Linked DNA regions of Saccharomyces cerevisiae S288C. The gene in region 2 interacts genetically with the main gene of each other region. Each region holds a gene or a part of one and is shown on either strand. Other genes may lie near its edges.

Evidence for each region. Genes that interact genetically often act in the same process or in processes that back each other up.
Region 1: mutations in PRM7 (region 2) and RPE1 together harm fitness more than expected from each alone (negative genetic interaction), as found in Saccharomyces cerevisiae (2 studies listed by BioGRID).

The regions. Positions count from the first base shown.
Region 1 is NC_001142.9:187,554-194,759, forward strand, and holds RPE1 (ribulose-phosphate 3-epimerase RPE1), read right to left. Parts: upstream 3,538-7,206; coding exon 2,821-3,537; downstream 1-2,820. Other genes in the region: LSM1 (Lsm1p), read right to left, coding at 1-91; DUF5427 domain-containing protein MTC1, read right to left, coding at 451-1,887; ALB1 (Alb1p), read left to right, coding at 2,163-2,690; YJL118W (uncharacterized protein), read left to right, coding at 4,086-4,745; PHO86 (Pho86p), read left to right, coding at 4,978-5,913; SUN family protein NCA3, read right to left, coding at 6,307-7,206.
Region 2 is NC_001136.10:378,660-387,620, forward strand, and holds PRM7 (pheromone-regulated protein PRM7), read right to left. Parts: upstream 5,423-8,961; coding exon 3,326-5,422; downstream 1-3,325. Other genes in the region: peptide alpha-N-acetyltransferase complex A subunit NAT1, read right to left, coding at 215-2,779; BSC1 (Bsc1p), read right to left, coding at 5,942-6,928; pseudouridine synthase PUS9, read right to left, coding at 8,854-8,961.

The DNA of each region.
Region 1 (7,206 bases), on a different chromosome or scaffold from region 2:
CCTCACCTTCTGAAATCTTCTTTGGGAAATTCTGCTGTTGTCGCTTCGCATCCTGATTGGACTGATTTCTGTCCTTGCTATTTGCAGACATTTTTGGTGAATTAATTCGATTCGAGGGCTGCTTTCTTTTATAGGTTTTGAAAGCGGAGCAAATGTTGGTATAACTCTACTGCAGCGTTGGCAATCCTGTTGAAAAGGAAAAGAAAATATAACTAAACTGTGTTACTTGTATCTTCACTAATATTTAATCAGCCCTTGGTCATACAGGCTTCCCCTAGATTGAAATACAGGTGCTGAACACCGTTGTATATTCACGACTTCCTCTATTTTTTTCATATTTTCCATTATTCAACGAACGCGGGTAACAAGTCGGCCGAATTTGAACCCACTCCTCTGCGCTTGTAACTTTATACATCATCGTTACGCTATAAATGTTATGTATTAAGTGTATCAAAGACCCATACGGTCAATGACATAATTCTGTGCCATGACCCCAAATGACAAGCTTAATCCATCTTCGATCCATTCCTTTACCCATTCACTAGGATCAATGATCTCATCGTCTTCGTCTTCGTCTTCACTTTCTTTTTGTTTCTTTTGATCGTATGACTTATTCCTCTCCTCACTTGCTGTTGATCCTGTTTTCTCCACGGATCCTTCTAGCCAATTGACCCATTTGACAGGGAATCCTTGTGATCTTGTTATGGTGGTAATATCGTTAGTTATGTCTTTCAATACAAGGGTGAAATTGAAATTGCCTGGCGTATTGGAGTCGGTCACTTGAAAGTCACCGTCGGCATCTTTTTGTTTTTGCGGAATGGCAATTGGTAAGATGGATATGAATAAATCACTGATTTTATTGCTGTTACTGCTAATAGAACTCCTATCGTCATCTGGAGTGGCATCAGCCTCTTTCTGTTGTTTCTGGTATTCCTCATGTGCAGTATTGAAGAGTTTGACTGCATTTTCCAGGTTTGCAAATGCCAGTTTCTCACCGTCTGTTACCTTGCCGTCGAATAGATTAAACTGTAATTTTTTTTTAGAGTTGCCTAACTCACCGTCTGCAACTGAAGGCTTTTTTTCCACAGGTGTAATTCCATTATTGTTAGGATGGCCCCATTCATCTACAAATATTCTGATTCCTCCCTCAACTTGTGAGCTTAGAACTTGATCAAACTTGCTTTCAATATTGTATTGTAATGAGGGATAGTTAACCAAATCATGGACTAGATGAATTCGCAGCACCTCTTCAGTCTCACCAACAACGATTTTCTGTAAGTTTCTGGCTATTTCAGTAATCGTGCTCGTGTTTATCTTTGAAGTCAAATCAAGCTGTTCTTGGGCAAGTCGGTTTTTGATCTGGGATGCTTGTTCTGCAGTTTTATTCCAAATACTCGATACCTTTGCGGATCCAGAGGAGGACCACCAGTTTGAAATAGAAGCAATTGGGTCATGCAATGGGGTCTCCTCCTCCTCCTCTTCTTCTTCTTCTTCTTCCTCCTCTTCTTCTTCTTTCTCCTGCTGCTGTGGTTCCTTTTCCTTTCCGTGAGCGTCCTGCTCGGAATTTTTGTTTTCTTTTGATTCTTCTACTTTTTCGTCTTGTGCTTTATTATTAACTGATTCACTGGGAGCCTTCTTTTCAACCCCTTTCTTGTCAGTTAAGCTTAAGTTACTCTTCTCCAACTCTTCTAAGAATTCAAAGATATCATCGTCACCTTTCTTTCCATCATTCCCGGTCTTGCCCGCCACAGAATTAGAACCTCCCTTAACGCCTTCTTGGCTACCCTTTACGTCAGTATTAACCATTTTCCCGCCATTCTTTGCTTCTGGCAAAGAATCTAAAAATTCAAATACGTCTTCAGCCTCAGAGTTCTTATTTTCAGACATTTTGCCCTGGTAGTATGTATGTTTTTAATCGATTGAGTCTAGTTAACCTGTCCCTTGTTCTATTCTTCACCGTCTCGTCCAACTTCCATCAAAGAACCAGAAACCAGAAAATCGCCGGTTTCTTCCACGCGTCAATCCGTTTGGAATGATCTCATCGCAAAATTTTTTTTCGCTAAAATTTTCATAGAGAGTATCAATATTAATATATGGTTATAACTTATGGCGGCATTAGTCGATGAGGTGCTTGCCGAAGAGACTAGCACAGCCAACCCATAATGCCTTCTAAAAACTCCATCAACAGACCTAAGCTGACTTCAAATTTGCACCACAAGGTGCACTCTTTAAATAAGAAAAGAGCTCAAAGAGAAAGAGCTGGTCTCTTGAAGCCAGCTAGATCCAGCGTAAATTCGAAATCTGGGGAAATAAAATCAGTAGCGTTGGACCTATACTTCCAAAACAAGAAGAACGAAAGTCAGAATTCCACTGCTGTGACATTACAAAATGCTTCATCTTCTCCGGCCTCCATCACCACGAGGACACTTTCCAAAAAGAGAGCTAAGAAAATCGAGAGAAACTTAAAATATGCTACACAGAGAAAATTATTGGTTGACGCAAGCGCTAAGCTAGAAGACGAAATGGATATTGATCTAGATGGCGGTAAGAAAGTGAAAGAGAATGAAAAGAAGAGTTCTTTGACTTTGGTTAAGGAAGCCTTATGGAGTGTCATTGACGATACTGCATCCCAGGGATTGATCATCGAAAACGGACAAGGCACCACCCTGGGCGGCCCATTTTTCCCATGAGTTAGGCACTTACGTATCTTGTATAGTAGGAATGGCTCGGTTTATGTATATTAGGAGATCAAAACGAGAAAAAAATACCATATCGTATAGTATAGAGAGTATAAATATAAGAAATGCCGCATATGTACAACTAATCTAGCAAATCTCTAGAACGCAATTCCTTCGAGACTTCTTCTTTCATGAAGGAGATAACATCGTGCGGGTCAGCTGCAGTGAAAACACTGGTACCAGCGACAATAACGTTGGCACCGGCTTTGGCGGCTTTCGGGATGGTCTCCTTGCCCAAACCACCATCGACTTGGATATTCAAATGGGGGAACTTGGCTCTCAAAGTTTCCACTTTTGGCATCATGTCTTCCATGAATTTTTGGCCTCCAAACCCAGGTTCCACAGTCATAACAAGAGCCATATCCAAATGAGGAGCTAGTTCAAATAAAACGTCAACAGAAGTACCAGGTTTGATGGCGCATGCAGCTTTGATGCCCTTAGACTTAATCAACTTAACTAAATGCAAAGGGTCTTGTGTGGCCTCGTAGTGGAACGTAAATTGGTCAGCACCACATTTAGCAAAATCGTCGACCCATTTTTCAGGATTTTCAACCATCATGTGACAATCGAAGAACGCAGTGGGCTTCTTTTCTGTGTTGCTAGCATCGCCAGGGCGTGGCACAGAACGACGTAGGGAGGTAACAATTGGTTGGCCCAGAGTAATGTTTGGAACAAAATGGCCGTCCATGACATCGATATGTAACCAATCTGCGCCGGCGTTGATGACCTTATGACATTCGCAACCCAAGTTGGCGAAGTCAGAAGCAAGGATACTGGGAGCTATAATTGGTTTGACCATTTTTTCTTGTGTGTTTACCTCGCTCTTGGAATTAGCAAATGGCCTTCTTGCATGAAATTGTATCGAGTTTGCTTTATTTTTCTTTTTACGGGCGGATTCTTTCTATTCTGGCTTTCCTATAACAGAGATCATGAAAGAAGTTCCAGCTTACGGATCAAGAAAGTACCTATACATATACAAAAATCTGATTACTTTCCCAGCTCGACTTGGATAGCTGTTCTTGTTTTCTCTTGGCGACACATTTTTTGTTTCTGAAGCCACGTCCTGCTTTATAAGAGGACATTTAAAGTTGCAGGACTTGAATGCAATTACCGGAAGAAGCAACCAACCGGCATGGTTCAGCATACAATACACATTTGATTAGAAAAGCAGAGAATAAATAGACATGATACCTCTCTTTTTATCCTCTGCAGCGTATTATTGTTTATTCCACGCAGGCATCGGTCGTTGGCTGTTGTTATGTCTCAGATAAGCGCGTTTGTTATGCGAAAAAAAAAAACTTTACAGAGGCTTTGTTTATATATAGAAAGACCACGAAAAAAACAGTGATGGCTTCATGCTTTTCAGTTTCATTATTGGCACGAGTAGCAGTCGTTGAGCCCATCAGAGTGCAACTTTGGTTAAATGTCGTAAATTGTATGATTGAATCATCCATGCACCAATGTCCTCCACGGGATCGCCACTTTTTTTCTTCATCACGCCCCATTTTGTTGATCCGACGTTCTGTATCAACTGTATACAGATTCGTTGCTTCTCGCACCACACAGGTTTTACGTGCGGCCAAGACCGTTGTCAAGTGGTTCATTATTGTCGACCCACTGATAAATTCTATTCTAATCAATTATCTCATTGATAGGCTCTGCACTCTTGGGCATGCTGTATTGCGAGTGAAAAAGCGCAAGACCGAGGAGAGACAACCCTGTTCTCCCATTATACAACACACACACGTTAAGAGACGCAAACGGCCTCGTCTGAGGATCGTAGCCATCAAGAGGAAGCGGAGGCGTCGAAGACCACATCGCATCGAGCGTCCACTCTCAAATATGTACCCAATAATGGAAATCCAGATGGTGGCTGTTCCACTTGCTCTTCCCAGTCCAACTGCACTGGTGCATTATCAGCAGCAGCAACAGCAGCTCCCGCAACATCATCCCTGGTACGACCTCTCGCTTTCTGAAGAAGCCCTCTCGACCTGCTGTTGTAGTTGACCTATAACTGAAAATTCACACCCGCATTACCCAGCGCGCCCGCACGTGCTCTTTATGGAAACTATAATGAATAACGACCAAAGAACATCTTTTTTTCTCTCTCACACAAATAAAGCTTTTCATGTTTATAGATATATAGCACATACTTTTACTAAGTTTTCTAGATTGATTACGACTCTTCCAGTTGCACATTTTTTCATAGCGAAAGTACAAGAGTAGGAAGAGTGGCACAATGGCGGTTCAACAAAGAAAGAAGAAAGAGGGTAGAAAGTCCGATAAAAATGCCCCATCGGTCCCACAAGTAGATGCATCATTAGACAAACCACTTGATATTGATGCTCCTCCTACTATTTACAGTGTTAATTTGAAACCAGAATATGGTACAGCTGCATTGAATTTGTCCGCGGATTTCATCAGACAAGAACAGGCATTGGCTAATAAGTATTTGTTCTTCCATCCCGTCATCCTTGTTGTTCTAACCATTGGGCTGCTTATTTACTTGACGCCAAGAATTGTCTTTCCGATAAGGAATACAGGATCCGTTGCTGGATGGTTCTACCAGCTGGCTCGTATTAATAAGAAGGTCGTCCTCAGCGGTTTAGTGTTCACCGCAATTGGTGCATCTTTCTTGTTCACCCTCCTCTCACGTGTATCTGACTCGTATTTCAAGTCGAAGATCAACCAACTTGTTGGTTCTAAAGGTGAGAAAGTTTTCGGCATCAATTTGAATGATTTGGTGGCAAGACATGAAACAAAGGATCCAGTGGTGAACAATACGCATATCATCGTTTATAGAGAAACGCCCATTGCATTGATTTCGTTAGCCCCTAACATGACATTAAGTACTGATGAAAATTTAGTCATGAGTGTTACTACTGTGGGTTGTCGTCGTGTATATGTAAAAAGTGGCATTATCGAAGATTTGATTGATTGGGCTATGCTACACTCCAAAAATATTAGAAGCAGCGGCAAATACGGGGAGACCATGAAACTCTTGATTGATGTCTACTCATTCGATAGCACGCTTAAGGAAATTTTGAAGAAAAAAGGGTTCACTTATATTCAAAGCATTAGAGTCTCTGAAAATCGACTACTAGGCGGTTTGTTCGGTGTGAAGAAGGAATTATGGGGTTTGCAATTCCATTTTAAAGCCGAACACAAGGACTAGGATACTGTTATTTTTATAGCCAAAAAATGAAAAAAAACAGCATGGCATCTTGTTAGTTCTGTTGCAACTCGCAGGAAGTAACAAAATAAACACTATAATATTTCCATATATTTATATATATGTATACAAACACCTTGTTAACAAAAAAAAAATAAACGAACTAAAGAAAACCGTAATGCAGAGTACACCTTGAAGAGAGAGAAAAGAAAATCTTTGAATCCATAGCATAATAGCGATCAACGAAACTTTTTAAGAAGTAAAATGAACTGAAAGGAGAAAAATATAACGGAATCCCAATGTATAATAATAAATAGAGAGCGGAAGAAAAAGAATAATAAGGGGAATTGAGGGTATCAAAATACAAGACATTCTTTTACCGAAAAGAAGAATGACTTAATAGAAAACAAATTCAGCAGATCCAGATAAAACAGAAACTGTGCAACCATCGGAACCATCTCCGGTGAAAGAGCCATCTTCATACGCACAGCTGCCCTGAACGTTAGCGCCATCGGATGCAACTATTTTAACGTTAAAGTTGGCAGCTTGGTTACTGTTGGGGTTTGGAATCAACGACAAGTATGTTTCTCCATTAGTGGAACCAGCACCTAACACTAGTGGAGCCCAGTTGCCGACATCCGAACCAGAAGTACCCCAAATGCACCCATCTTCTGCAGATACACCGGCGTTGTTAATATAGTACTGAGCAGAAGTCTTTTTACCCTGCCATTGATAATAAGTGTCTTCATCAACGACTGAAATTGGTTGTGAATCTCCACCATCAACCACTGTGGGAATCACCATGTTTTCTGATCCTGGGTAATCCGTCCTACATAGAGCAATGGAGTCAGACTTTTTGTTAATGGCCTTAGCAGATGTTTCATCCGTAGAACATAAATCGCTGGTATCAGTGTTGGTACGGTACAAGTAACCATTTTTACAGTAAAGACCACCAACAGATTTACCATCGCTTGGTTGGTCAGAAGGCCATTGAGTCTTTGACATTCCAGGTTCACATGCATAAGAACAGTAGTAGCCATCCTTACATTCGGACGAAGTGTTGGCATCCATGTCCATGACAGAGGCCCATCCACCAAATCCTAGCCAGTCCAAGGAAACTATACCGTTTACAGAAGGGAAGTCCGAACATTTGACAGTACCATCTTGGAATCCGCCATCACGCTTCTGTTCAGAGGTATCCTTCTCAGATGAGGACAATGTAGTGGTAGTAGCAGCAGATTCTACAGTACTAGTAGCGGCATTGGAATCTATGTATTGAGTGACAGTGACAACCGC
Region 2 (8,961 bases):
TTTTTTCTCTGAGATGGGAAAGCAAGAATTTTGGCAAGAAAAGGTCCTGGCTGTCCTGGACCATGGTTGGAAGGAGTGCTAGATGTAGCTTGGAAAAGAAATGACCTATAACAATGTATCTTTTATGAGCATATGCGCATGCATATAAGCATATACATAAAAAATATATACATAAATTAAGTAAGAGTTAATTGACACATTGAGGAGTTGCAGGCTACAAGTAATACTGTAGAATTTCGTTCTGGGAGTGAGGCTCCAAGGGAGAAAGACTGCTAATAATCATTTCTTTCAAATTAGAGCTTCCGATCGGAACATCATCGCGATAGCGATACAGAAATAGCAGGCCATTTATATCATTCTTACCGAATTTTTCTTGGTAGAAATTCAGCCAATCGAAGCTATTGTTAGATATTTCGTTTAATGGGAAATTTTCAGAATACTCTTTTTCAAGGCTCTTCGTGACTACTTTCTTCAAAATTGGATCAAAGGGGGTGTCGTTTCTTGTGGCATGTAACAAAACAATGGCCATACTACCAAATAAACCGCTCGTGGTGCCAAATCTCTTAGCGAATTTGTTTAGAGAAGCAAAGCACAAAGCTAACTTTCCAATTCTGTAGTTAAATTCAAAGTCCAAAATATAATCCCTTTCGTCTTCTCTGACTTGCATGGAGTAGTTATTATAAAATTCGGTAGCGAAGTCCTCCATTGGAGTGGAGGTTTCAATCAACTTTTCGCCGAATACATCGTTATCTTGATCACTCGGATAAGCAGCAACACTCTTGGCTTCAGTTTCTTTCCGTTTGTTCATAGCGGCTGCTTCCTTCTTAGCTTTTTTCTTTTGGCTGCTACTATTTTGGCCATTATTTTGGATTTCATCTGAATTTTCATCTAAAGAATCGGACTTTCTTTTTAAGCGATCATCATGCATTTGAAAGTAAAGCTTTGATGCTTCCTTCATTGCGCGAACATACATGGGTTTGGTATAAAGTGCCTTTCCCCATTCTAACATCTCCAGATAGGCTCTTGGCGTACCTTTTCTCATACAGTATGAATGGAAATCCAACTGGTCATCTTCGAATTGTTTATAAAACTTTGGAATAGCGTTGAATCTTTTCAGCGCCAAACCTTTATATTTGCGAACAAGCCATTGGTTTTCTTTGATATCATTCGCAATTTGTTCGCTTTTATCACTTTCAACCTCTTTTTTTAGCGATGCTAAATCGTCTAATTTCTTTTTTCTATCCAGGTATAGTCTATAATAGGCTTCTGCCTGTTCTACGATGAACCAAGAAGCTTCCACAAGGTGTAAGTCCTTAATACCATTAACAGAATCATCGTTTTTGGTGAAAAGGGACGCGACTTCCACCGCCTTGTCGATATTGTTAGCCCTTAAAAAGTACTTAACCGTTTTACAGTTGATAAATCTATCCTGCAAATCAAGTTGCCTACCTTCCTCCAAAATTCCAGCCGCTGTGTCCATTAGGCCTAAGTGCTTCAGGATACGTGCCTTGAGGATGTAAAACTCAACTAAAGTTGGGGTGTGGTCAAGGGCAGCATCAATATATTCTTGGGCTTTCGGAAAATCCTTAAGGAAAAGGAAATGTTGAGACAAGTAATAATTGGTCCAAATAAAAGGAATTGGATCCTGCGTAGGATCTAATCCGGACAAATAATCAAGGACAATTTTCTCCAATAGTGGTGAAACCTTGGACTTCCTTCTTTGGTAAAGGGGTTTCACGTTGGAAAAAGTTGCTGGAACACCGCGCTCCAATTGAGGCAAAACATATTCTCTCAATTTTTTGCTGAGCTCTTCTTTGTCTTGAAGGAAAGTTAATGGAATAAATTTGGGTGGTTCGCATCTTGGATAAAATTGTTCAAGTTTTCCATACAAAGCCTTCTTCAATTTATTGTCACCTTGGATTCCCAAGGATACTTCCAGTAATTTGTAGTACTTAAAATTATCTGGATTTCTCTTGATCAGAGTTCTATAAACAATGGACGCGTCTTTCAATTGACCCAATTTCATGTAAATAGTTGCTTTTCTCTCTAATAAACCAAATTTATCAAAGACGCATGGCTCGATATCATTCAAATGTTTCAATACATTTTGTAACTTGTCTTGGTTATCACTGGCAGCTTTATACATAATGTCGTTTTTGTACATTAAACACTCGCTGTGTTCATATTTCTCGGAATCAGATATTTTTCCCTCAGCGAGTTTTTCAAACTGAGATAAAGTGTTAATAGCTTGTTGCCTCTCACCGTTCACATCTTGTGCCACAGCCAATGATGTCCAGTTGGCACGGTAACCAAGGAATGCTTCCCAATATTTTTTCCTGGACACTAAAGCATTTTTGAAATCGCCAATTTGTGATTGCAAAGTTGCTAAGTCTCTATATATTTGCTTGTTAGTGGACCCATTGTTCAAAGCTGCCGTGAACCATTTAATAGATTCTTTGTACTCTTTGGTGTTTCTCATGTAGATACCTAATACATGACAGCAGATTGGTGATGCTGAAGCGCCTTCAATTTTTCTGATGGCATTAGCCACGTAGGAAGCAGCGTCATCTTTCTCACCTACAGAATATAAATCAAGACCCTTTAAAGCCAAGGAATCAACGTGACTACCGTCTTTTTTCAAAATTGCGTCTAGCAGCTTGAGAGATTTTTTGTATTGCTTCCCTTCGTATAGTTTCAATGCCTCGAGGAACTGGTCATTTTCTTTTTTCAAAGCTATTTTAGCTGCTGGCTTGGGCTTAGTACTTCTTTTCCTAGACATACTTCGTTAGGGTCAATCGCCTTCCTCAATGGTATTTGTCTTAAACAAGGAATCTGAACATCACTTTTTAAAAAGGTTTGACTTTTGAGTGTAGAAACTTTTTCATTTTCGCTCTTTCCTCTTTACTCTGTATTATGTTCTGTTTCGACGCGGAGCAGGGTAAAAAGTGCATACGCAACCCAGCGACCTCATTAGCAAGGTCATGCAATTTGGTGGCACATTTCAGGCCTATCATGTCTCCAGTTGTACAATAATGAAAATTTAGCAGTATTCCCCCTTTAAAAGATTAAATAGCGATTATATAATCAACTCAAAGAGTTTCCTTAGCAGTCCTCTCTCAATTTTGAATTGTCGAATGTCATGGCGTTCTCGAAGCACTTTGCATACTTCAAGGAGTGGACAGAAAGAGTCTGATAATAATAATTTTTTATTGAATCCGAAGATATTCTATAATCAAATTTAACTATTATTCTATGTAAAATCTATAATTGGTTTATATGGTATACGAACGAGAATGGCGTAGGGACATGAAAGATGGTAGAATGACTAAATGAAAGCTAGAGGAAGAGCGGCAGCGAGCCACACCAATTTTCCTACTGCTTCAATGTTTGCGCTGCCTTCCATGATTAATGAAATGCTGGCAGATGATGTAATGGCTCCTGTTGATACAGCAGCAATGGAATGCTTTGATGTGATAAATGCGTTAGTAGTGGTGGTCGTGAAGGAATTTGTATAATGAATGGCACTGGATTGACTAGAATAATCTTTAGTTGAGGTACCAGAAACACTTTCTAGAGAGGCAGCTGCAGAAATATTGTCCTCAATACTGTGATTCATTACGGAAGCAGTTGATTGAACGTTACTTATAGTAGACGTTGATGCAGGAGAAGTCATAAATGCAGATTGTTTGGTGATGGTAGTGTCTTTGGGACCCGAGTAATTTGGGTTCCCAACCTCAGACTGAATGTTAATGTTTGAAGTTACTAGTGTTGTATGGCGAGTCGAGTCAGTAACTCTACTGACAATATCGGTGACGCTTGCGTGAGCTGATGCATAAGTTCTATCTAATGTGATTGGATGAGCTGAGGAAGATGAGCCGACTAAACCATTTTCACTGGCTAGAGTCGTTGGGTCTGCTGAAGTTATGCTAGGATATGAAGATTTAGTTGATTGGAATGCGTCAACTACAGAAACAGAACTTTGGGTCTTCGAATCATTGCTGCTAACTGGCATATTAGGCTTGATTATACTTGTTGCGCTTGACCTACTCGAGGAAGCCGAATCAACTGGGGTTAAAGTTACAATCGAAGAACTTGAAGTGGCCGAAATTCCTTGCTGTCTAGAAAGGCTTAGACTTTCCGACGCAATTGGAATGCCCGTGGAAGTTGATCCGGTCGAAGCTGTTGGATATACTGGGCTATTCGAGACAGCGAAAGTGCTTGGGTCTACTTGAGATCTTTGAATGGATGAGACGCTCAAATCAGCTGAACCAGTTGAGGAAACCATATCAGTTAGACTAGATGATACTGTTTGGGTATCTTGGCTGGTTGAAGTGGTTGAAACCCTTAGAATGATTGTGTCAGAGAAAGTAGCTAGATCTGTTGAAGTAGTTGGACCACTTGGTCTGGTTGAATAAACTGAGGTTGAACTGACAATAAAACTGGTTGGTTCAGATGAAGTTGAACTAACTACAGAACTAGCTGGATCAATTGAGGCGCTACTGATGATAGTAGTTGCACCGCTTGAACTAACGATGGAGCTAACTGGATCAATTGAAGTAGTTTGAGCCGCTAAAGTAGCTGAACCGTTTGAATTAGCAGAAATAGTCACAGTGCTTGAGCTAGTTGGGTAAGATGAAGTTAAACTGACAACAGAACTAGCCGGATCAACTGGAGCGGAACTGACTACAGAACTAGTTGGATCAACTGAAGTAGTTTGAACGGTCGAGGTAGTTGAGTCAGCTGAAGTAGTTGGGTCTGCTGAAGTTGAACTGATAACAGAAGTGGTTGGGTCAACTGAAGTAGCAACGTCACTTGAGCTAGTTTGATCAACTGAGGTTGAAATGACTACAGAAGTAGTTGGGTCAACTAAAGTAGTCACAGCGCTTGAACTAGTTGGATCTGCTGAAGTAGCCACGTCACTTGAGCTAGTTGGATCTGTTGATGTGGTTACCTCGTCAGAGCTTCTTGTACGATACATACCAGCAACACTTGATGAGGCATGTGGACCAACTGTTGTAGTAGACTCAATTAAAGATGTAGAGTCCGTGGAAGTGGAAATCACGACAGAGATATTTAGACTTGTTGAAGTAGTAATATCGTTTGAACTGACGAGAGAAGTAGTTGGTTCAATTGAAGTGGTTTGAACGGTTGAAGTAATCACATCGCTCGAGCTAGTTGGGTCAATTGAAGTGGAACTAACTGCAAAAGTAGTGGAATTGGCCAAAGTGGAATTGCCGATGTTGTTACTTGGACCAGCTGAAGTGGTTTGAACGGTCGAGGTAGTTGAGTCAGCTGAAGTAGTTGGGTCTGCTGAAGTTGAACTGATAACAGAAGTAGTTGGGTCAACTGAAGTAGCAACGTCACTTGAGCTAGTTAGATCTGTTGATGTGGTTACCTCGTCAGAGCTTCTTGTACGATACATAGCCGCTAAACTTGATGAGGCGTGTGGATCATCCGATGTAGTATACTCAATTGAAGATGTAGAGTCTGTGGAAGTAGAAATGGTAACAGAGCTACTTGGATCAGCTGGGCTAGTTTGAACGGCCGAAGTAGTTGAATCAGCTGGAGTAGTTGGGTTAATTGAAGTAGTCACAGCATTTGAACTAGTTGGGTCTGCTGAACTTGAACTGATAACAGAGCTACTTAGATCAGCTGAACTTGAACTGACTACGGAAGTAGTTGGATCAGCTGAAGTAGTTTGAACGGTCGAGGTAGTTGGGTCAGCTGAAGTAGTTGGGTCAACTGAAGTAGTTGGATCAACTGAAGTAGAACTGACTATAGAACTAGTTGGGTCAACTGAAGTAGTTGGATCAACAGAAGTAGTTTGAACGGTCGAGGTAGTTGGATCAGCTGAAGTATTTGGGTCAACTGAAGTAGTTGGGTCAACTGAAGTAGTCACAGCGCTTGAACTAGTTGGGTCTTCTGAACTTGAACTTACTACTTAAGTGGTTGGATCAACAGAAGTAGTTTGAATGGTTGAACTGGTTACATCGCTTGAACTACTAGAGTCACTTGAAGTGAAACTGCTGAAAGGACTAGTTGAAGCTGCTAATGTGGTGACATCAGTAGATGTTCTTGAACGATAAATATCGGCTACGCTTGATGAAGTATGTGAGTCAACGGAAGTAGTAAAATCAATGGATGTAGTGGAAGAGCTTTTCACAGTAGATGACGTAGTAGTGGAAGTTTTCGTAGAGGATGAAGTAGTAGAGGATGAAGTAGTAGAGGATGAAGTAGTAGAGGATGAAGTAGTAGAGGATGAAGTAGTAGAGGATGAAGTAGTAGAGGATGAAGTAGTAGAGGATGAAGTAGTAGAGGATGAAGTAGTAGAGGATGAAGTAGTAGAGGATGAAGTAGTAGAGGATGAAGTAGTAGTGGATGAAGTAGTAGTGGATGAAGTAGTAGTGGATGAAGTAGTAATGGATGAAGTAGTAATGGATGAAGACGAGGCTTTTGTACAAGTGCCATCATTGTTTCCCTTGCACTGGTAGGTCCAATAAAATCCAGGGAAATCCGTTTGTGAGTGGCCTTGATTGTCATAATTGTTACAACCTGTCGATAAATCGAAGGTGGTTGTCCCCCATTGCCAAGTTTGCCAGTACTGAGCAGCATCACCTTGTAGATATTCGAACTGGATTTGGAAATTTGGCATCCAAACTGTGCAACCGTCAGAAGAAGGGTAAGCATAAACCTGAAAAGTGGATGTAAAATCTGTTGGATCACTGATTAGGTATGTCTTCTCATTTTTGCCGTAAAGTTGTACGGTGCTTGAGGGACCGTTGACACCAATAATCTTTAAAGACCATAAATATTTCAAAGGGATATCTTTTACGGCTTTGACATGAATAGTAATCTGGTATGTGTTATCCTTGACCCATGATACGGAAGTAACATCCATATCATAATGTAGTATATTCTGTTGGCTCATGTGCCAGTTGAAATCCAAATTTGGACAACCATTGATAGCAACGCTTTCGTCTCTTTTGCTTAGATCAAATGAAGGGCTCACCTTGTCATCAATTCTATCAGCAGTCGCTGAATTTGTGAGCAAGGCCGCAAATAGGAGGCAAAATGATATTAGTAGTTTTCTTATGAATGATGTGGATACCTATTTTACACTTTTGCAACAAGGGGAGGAAAATTGCCAAGACCATCATGACATTGGAGGAAGTGATTTGCTTCTCTTAAATATAAAATAATTAAACGATCATGGAGATGCAGCGAACTAATGTGAAAAATTTTTCTTTCCAGTAGTATCGGTTATTCTGTAAGCATAGAATCGGGTATTAGTGGCTTGTTCCGAGCTTTTTTTCTTTGCCAATAAGAAAACAAGTAAAATGCAACGTGCAAATGCTGATCTGATCTCGCCTGGGCCAGTTTTATCGTCATGTGCGCGTGTAGGCACGAAAAAAAAGAAAAGACCGCTACCTCTCCTTCTAAAATGACAGGAGGAGAATATAAGGTTTGGCAGCCCCTTGAAAGAGCCGCAGGAACCAAAAAAAAAAGAAGGAAAGTTTATTTTTTTCTTTTTCCAAAAGACTTTTTAAGATGTTTGTCAGCAAGATAATACAGGACCTACACGACTATCAGTCACAGCCAGAGAAACGTTTGTCGTATGATGGCAAAATATTTTTCCCACAACTTTGAAATTATTTTCAAATATGGCAGAACAGTTTAACATTTGGTTTCAAGAGGTAGCACAAGTTCTTGAATAGTATTTGTTCGCGTTAAGATGGAAGCAGGCCAAATGCCCCAATAATCTAATAACCGTATTTTCTATGCTAAAGGAGGAACGAACACTCGGTCTTGTACAGGCAGCTCTAAAAGGAAAATTTCCATCCCCCCAGGCCAAGAAAATCAGAATCATATGGCCCCCTTCCATTCTAACGGAATAGTATATCAAAGAAATAATGTTTACGTAAGCCATAGACAAGCGATATAATCTTTTTTATCCTTAAACTAGGTGCTTCATTAAGAAAGAAGAAGAAAAGAAGAAAGTACGACAAAGACTCCCCGCTGGACAATAAACGGGGGCGGCAGGTGTTAATTCCGAATTGAAATTTAAATTTGACATAAGCAAAGTTTAAAGTTTTTTTTTTCCAGTTCTTTTTTCCCATCGTTTTTTTTTCTAGAAGCCGGGTTTTTCACCGTCAAAAAATTTCCTAAAAAAGATCTGTCAATCATTAAGTTTTGCTTTTTCGGCTTTTAAGCCATGCTTTCAGGCAAAAATTAAGATTTCTTCGTAAAGATCGGAGCCTTACGCCCAAGAAGCAACTGGCCGTAAAATTTTTTCTTCGATCGGGTGGCAAATGGAACAGAAGATCATGAGTAGAAGGAAAAGTAAACAAAGAATTGCGTCGGTCAACCGGTTGTTGCTGCGTGCTTCAGCGGGTGATAAATAAAAGATTTCCTATCTGAGTAATCGATGACACAAGCGGTCTGCGCTCGGTCGCTTCCAAGCCTTAACAAAGTTTTTACTTTATGGTTTTTAATAAATAAATAAAAAGAAACGTGGATTTGGATAGCAGAAAGCCTCGAAGATCATTTTATCAATGAAATTTTATGGTTAACACTTTCAAGACTCCGATTTTCTCTGCTACGTGAAATTTTAGGTTGCGAAAAGAATACTACCGGGAATACTAGGAGTGTGGAAGAAAAGAAATGGAAAAGAAAAGGAGAAGTGGTCATTCTTCACATCTCATTGTCTTCCTCCTGTAAAGATTTTAGCTTTTTTATAAATTAAGATTAAGATTGTAGCGTGATGTTCTGTTACTGTCATTTTTGATTGGCCAATGACTGATTATAACAGAAGACCAGTTTTCTATGTATTATTGTCCGACAAGTCAGGAACCTCTATCTTCTCAGAGCCCATTCTGGATACTCTGTTTTGTAGCACCACTTTTTCTTTTCGGTTCCTTCTTCAGTCTCAGTTGATTCGTATAGATAGGCATGTAACCACAG